2 linked regions of the Saccharomyces cerevisiae S288C genome follow. Changing the gene in region 1 together with any one later gene gives a genetic interaction. Each region holds a gene or a part of one and is shown on either strand. Other genes may lie near its edges.

Region 1 (3,768 bases):
CGATATAAAGAGGCTCGCGATTTATTTTTAAAGATATATTACAAGGAAGAATTTTCATCTGACGAAAGTATAGAAAGGCTCATGACATGGAAATTTAAATCACTTATTGAGATATTACGTTTAAGAGCCCTACAACTCTATTTTCAGAAAAACGGTGCACAGGATTTAGTTCTACAAATTTTAGAAGACACGGCAACTATGTCGGTTTTTTTACAAAGAATAGACTTTCAAATTGATGGAAATATATTTGAATTACTTTCTGATACTTTTGAGGTATTGGCACCCAAGTGGGAAAGAGTATTCTTGTTCGACATCGAGAAAGTTGATAGGGAAAATATGATCTGCAAAATTGATTTCCAAAAAAACTTCATGGATCAGTTTCAATGGATTTTAAGAAAGCCTGGCAAGGATTGTAAACTCCAAAATCTCCAGCGTATAATTAGAAAAAAGATATTTATTGCCGTTGTTTGGTATCAAAGGTTAACCATGGGGAATGTATTCACCCCGGAAATTTCTTCCCAAATAGAGATTCTTGTGAAAGATAATGAATGCTCTTCTTTTGAGGAAAATAATGATTTGGAAAGTGTATCTATGTTACTGCAGTATTACATATTGGAGTATATGAACACTGCACGAATAAACAATAGAAGGTTGTTTAAGAAGTGCATTGACTTTTTTGAAATGTTGATATCTAAGTCGCTTACTTTCTCACAAGAATCTGGACTGATGGTAATATTATATACCTCTAAGATTGTATTCATTTTAGACTCTGATTCAGAGAATGATTTATCCTTTGCGCTGATGAGATATTATGATCGGAAAGAAGAGCTAAAAAATATGTTCCTCTATATCTTGAAACACTTGGAAGAGATGGGAAAACTTCGGGAGAGGGATATTACCTCTTTGTTTCACAAGTTCATTCTTAGCGGCTTCATTTTCACGAGCATGATTCTAGAAGCAATTAGCACAGACAAGATTAATCCTTTTGGTTTCGAACAAGTGAAGATTGCGCTAGGCAGCCCTATTGTTAACGTATTAGAAGATGTCTACAGGTGCTTCGCACAACTGGAACTAAGACAGCTGAATGCAAGTATATCTCTTATTCCTGAATTGTCCGTAGTACTAAGTGGAATTATTCAAGATATTTACTATCTGGCGCAGACATTAAAGTTGTGGAGAAAAATTGCACGATTATACTCCTGTATCTCCATAAGTGACATTATAAGTATGCTGCAAATAAGTGATGACAATGAAATGACAAGAGATGATTTGCTAACAATTTTAATGAGGTCAATAATGAAAAATAGATCGGTTGTGTATTTTAAGTTAGATTTGACAAGTGATTTAGTCTATTTCGGAGACGAGAATAAAGTCATGCTACCGAGATGTTCTAAAGAAGAATTTCGTCTTATGATCTCTCCCAAGGATGAAGAAACCACTGAAAAGGCCAGGCTAATAGATTTTGAGTACGTTAACGATGTCGCGATTTATAATAACCCAACAAGAATAAGAACCAAATCCTCTAAAGAATTTTTCAATACATTAAGAAAATCTAGGGAAACTGTAAAATTACCGAGGGTAAGCAACCAGTCGAATGAAGATACTTTTCTACCATCGTATATGAAGTTTTCCAACAAGTACCTCGAGCTGTGCAAACTGGCCTCTAACAATCTGGAATAGAATGTCGATCAGGCACGTTCGTGTAAACATTACGATTTTGGAATTCCACTTACATAAGATAGCTTCTTTGTAAAAGCCGTTCGAAGATTTCGTTTATAGTGATGCTTTTTCTGGAGAGATTTAAGATAATAAGGATATGTGGAAGGAAATGAAAATGTACACCTACAAAGCGTTGATGGTATGGAAACTATCGACCATAGTTTGTTAAACAGGAAATATTTGCTTGAGGGTAAAGTGTTCTGATTCATTATACAAAGCCCCTTGCTTATAAGAAAAGAAACCAAATCAGAAAAGGAGATTATTTCAAGGTAGGCATCGAAATGGCAAGTAACCAGCACATAGGAGCTTCAAACCTAAATGAGAATGAGGCTATATTAACCAACCGCGTTGCTGAGCTGGAAAGGCGTATGTCGATGTTTGAGGGTATATTTCACGCGTTAAGTAACCGTCTCGATCTTCACTTTAAAAAATATGATGTAGTGGTAAACTCCCAACAGCAACAAATCAACGAACTGACCGCGTTTTTATCAACATTGCTGAATGACCAACAACGCCACGCTGAAATTCTCAGTGAAAAATTAAGCGGAACGTTGCATGGGGTGTCAGCTACGTCAATATCCTTAAGCCAAACTCTTGACCCACAAGGCTTCACTGATGGAACTACGGCACCAGGAGCTCCTAGGAATTATACTTCAGTGCCTATGAATAATGATCAAACTGCTCATCCGCAAAATGAAGGAGCTGTTAGTAATGAAACACTTTTTGAGGACATTTTGAATGGAAATTCACAAGAAAATGATAAGAGTCAACAACAAACTAACAGCTCAAATTCTATAAGCCAAGAAAATAATAGCACCAACCCTTCAGTGGACACTCGGTTCAACAAGCCGCAAAATTATAATTCCAATTTAGTCCCATCCTTGGAAGAGTATTCAGCAAATCCACCTAACAATGATGGTGGCCAAAGTCAAGGACTGTACATAAGCAGCAACTCTTCTCAATCACGGCAGTCTCCTAATCTCCAGAAAGTTTCTCCTAACCATGAAAATGCGGTTGAATCAAATGCACAAGAGAGCGTGCCGACATTTGAGGAGGAACAGTATGAGACTAAAACAGGATTGAAACGGAAACGAATAGTCTGCACAAGACCCTTCGAATTTATCAAGTCACCACACTCTGTGATGGAGGTTTGGAAGGAGTATACAGAAGGTGTTAACGGGCAGCCTTCTATAAGGAAAATGGAAGCTCTTTATCAAACGGCATGGAGGCGAGATCCAGCAGTAAATAAAAGATATTCGAGAAGAAAGGTTCTTTGGAAAGCCATTCAAACTGGCCTTAATCGTGGGTATTCATTAAACTATGTTGTTGAAATATTAGAAAACTCAAGATATGTTAATGATAAACAGAAGGTTAAACAACCTATTGGTTGGTTATGCCACAGTTCTCATATTCCAGAGACTTTGAAGTGACATTTGCTTCTTGTGTATTCACCTTTATCCCAAATTAGCCCTTGTAACACTTATGCTTTTCTTAATAAATTAATAATTGGACTTTCCTTTAAAGTGGGTTGTATCTGTAACAATAATCTCTAATAATATCCTATAAAACTCAGAAGTCAGCCAACAACAATTGTATACGTATACATATCTATATAATATGCCTTGTACTTTACGCTCTTGAATTTAGAATAGCTGAACACCTAACTGAATTTAAGTAAAGGATCCCAAGCGTGAGATATTTAGGTTTACTCAGTTTTCTTATCTTGCCTTTTGATTATCACGTTGAGTGTCGAAGAAACCTGTATTCATCCTCGGCTTCTTGTATATGATTCTAAAATAATGTGTGAAAAAAAAAATAAAATAAAAAAAAGAGGAAAATAATATAGAATAACTATTAAGTTTCATTAAAAAAAAACCATTTGAATATACGACCAAAAACGTTACGCTTTCATAAAGTGTGAATAAGCAAGGGAACTATACTTGAAATATGGGGGCAAAGAGTGTAACAGCCTCTTCTTCAAAGAAGATTAAAAACCGGCATAATGGGAAAGTGAAAAAGAGCAAGAAAATCAAGAAAGTACGGAAACCA
Region 2 (2,507 bases), on another chromosome or scaffold:
GATGCGGCAATGTAAGCGATCTGCTTATACATTTGCTTGTAATTGTGAGTTACCCAGCCGCCCTCGTGCTCTGTAGTGCCATCCATACCAATGACCCAGTCTGCTCCAAAAAGGGCATTGAAAATTAGTCCTATTACGCCTGCAACCCCGTGCTCAGCTAGAATGTCCATGGCATCATCTACTTTAGCGTAGTATTTCAACTTCGTCGCAAAGTTACACACTACCCCCGCCACAATGCCTTGAATAAGTGAACCGTAAAGGGTTATACAGCCTGAGCTTGGCGTTGCAGCCACCAGCCCAGAAATGATACCGGAGCACAGACCAACTGTCGACCATTTCTTCTCCGATCTGTAATCCAGAAGACACCACGTCATCCCACCAGTAATGGCACTGAGACATGTATTCATGAATGCATAAACTGACCTCAAATTTGGGGATAATGAGGATGCAGAATTAAATAGCAGCCAGCCAAACCACAGTATGGATGTGCCTAGAGTGACCAATGAAACATTATGAGGCCTGAAATTTATCAGTAACTTTTCATTTCTTTTGCCCAAAAACCAAGAGTAAACAAACCCGGAAACAGCGCTTAATATTTCAATGTTGCCGCCGCCTGCCCAATCGAGGACTCCCCATTGGTATGCCCAACCACCTGGTGACCAAATCCAATACGTCACTGGACAATATCCAATGGTAGCTAGAATAAAGAGAAAAACCATGTGCGGTAGCAGCCTGCCTCTTTCGGCAGTGGCGCCAGCGATAATACTTAAGTTGACGCACGAAAACATCATTTGGAAGGTTGCATACGCGAGCTCAGGGTAGGCATCTTCATCGAATTTTTTTCCGTACACGTTTCTAAAGCCAAACGAATCTAGATTCCCAATGAATTTATTATTCGGAGCGGACTTTGAAAAAGCTAGAGAGTAACCCCAGAAATACCATTGCAGTATACCGACCAAAGTCGCCATTAATACAACCCAGATTAGTGCTAGTGCAGACTTCCTTCTTGCCAATCCGGAGTACAAGAATCCCAATCCGGGCACCATAAAAAATACTAGGGCGGCACCTAATATCATGAAGGCCACAGTGGGGCCATCGTAGGTTTCAGTCGTTAAAGGCCCTGTAGTTCGACTCTCCATAGTTTCTACAGTATAAGAATCCGTACTGCAGTTATGTTTACTAAAATAATTCTCTGATCATAAGCCTAAACAAGTTACAAGAGCGCCTATATAAATAAACTACCTTTTAAGTATCTTATTCTGGAACTGCATTATCGACTGGTAAGCAGAAGGTGCTATAGAAGCCTACACCACTTTTCCGATTTTTTTTTTTTTTTTTTTTCAGGAAAAACATCTTCCATCAATACTTTGTCATTTCTTTCTTCTTCTCTTCTGTGCTTACATAGCCATAAGATGTCACACAAGGGTGTCTGTAGCAATTGTGAATCTTATCGTTATCGCAATCTCTGAGATGTCTCATCCAATAAGAGGGGCGCGTGTCCGCAGAGATAAGCAACCAGGGCCTTTTCTTTTGCACTCAGCCTGACAAAGGGAGGGGAGGCGCAAAACAAAGTTCGTGGCAAAGGACAACCGTAGAAGAGCATCGCCATGTTGATTTTGAAGAATGTCAAGACACAAGTACAAGTTATGGATGTGCATCGCAAAGGGAAAAAGGGGAGTGGGGGAAAGAAATACGTTTGTCCCTAAGTGCTCTTATGCTCCCTTTTGTGCTTCAGAGGTTCTTGATCAATTATTAAGAGGGGATAACTCTATCGTATATAACTTTTATCTTAAAAATGGTTCAGGTAGTGTTTATATAGGCTCAGTCTTTCTTATCTGAAAAAAAACAGTACGGGATTTTTTGTGCGCTCGAATAGTGCCGAACTCAATTACGGGCTGTGGTAACACTTGAGATCTTGTCTTCCCTTACAAATAGCTCTAGGGGTGTTGCATGTAGCCGCAGTAACATCTTGAAGAAGTGTACACTTTTGAGGGGACGCCATTGTGTTACGTTCTATGTATTGAATAGTATAGTTTTCAATTTTCCTGCGCTGACGTAAACCGGCTGTAAGAAAAAACGTATAATCGAGAACTGGTTATTCAAAGGTTGAACTTTAAAGTGAAAAGTAGCTCTAACAAAATAAATCATGCGTGAGAATGCAATGTCTACAAAGAAACTTCCCTATAAATTATCTGGCAGCAGCAAAATAACAACTTCCATACCTAATGATTTAATCATACTGCGAAATAATTGCATAAATTCACTGAACAGTTCCTCGTCCAAAGCTGACAGCATTACATGTATAGATACGTGGCTAAAATACACAGAGGGTTTGTTAACCCACAGGTACGAAGCTAATAATGACGCCGCTCTCATTGAAGAGGAGATAGCGATTGCGTTAATCAATGTTGCCGTATTTTATCAAGACATCGGTATTGAAACATTGTACAGAGCTTATGAATCTTCACAAGCGTCAAATAACTTATGGACAACAAGCGGGACCTATC

What was found. A genetic interaction does not mean that the proteins touch.
Region 2: mutations in MSN1 (region 1) and YGR121W-A together harm fitness more than expected from each alone (negative genetic interaction), as found in Saccharomyces cerevisiae (one large-scale study listed by BioGRID).

What each region holds. Positions count from the first base shown.
Region 1 is NC_001147.6:97,809-101,576, forward strand, and holds MSN1 (Msn1p), read left to right. Parts: upstream 1-2,000; coding exon 2,001-3,149; downstream 3,150-3,768. Other genes in the region: RRI2 (Rri2p), read left to right, coding at 1-1,680; non-canonical poly(A) polymerase PAP2, read left to right, coding at 3,667-3,768. UniProt on the Saccharomyces cerevisiae protein: May function as a transcriptional activator. Increased dosage of MSN1 restores invertase expression in yeast mutants defective in the SNF1 protein kinase, and msn1 disruption reduced derepression of invertase in the wild-type. May affect SUC2 expression.
Region 2 is NC_001139.9:731,789-734,295, forward strand, and holds YGR121W-A (uncharacterized protein), read left to right. Parts: upstream 1-1,623; coding exon 1,624-1,839; downstream 1,840-2,507. Other genes in the region: ammonium permease MEP1, read right to left, coding at 1-1,139; YGR122W (uncharacterized protein), read left to right, coding at 2,147-2,507.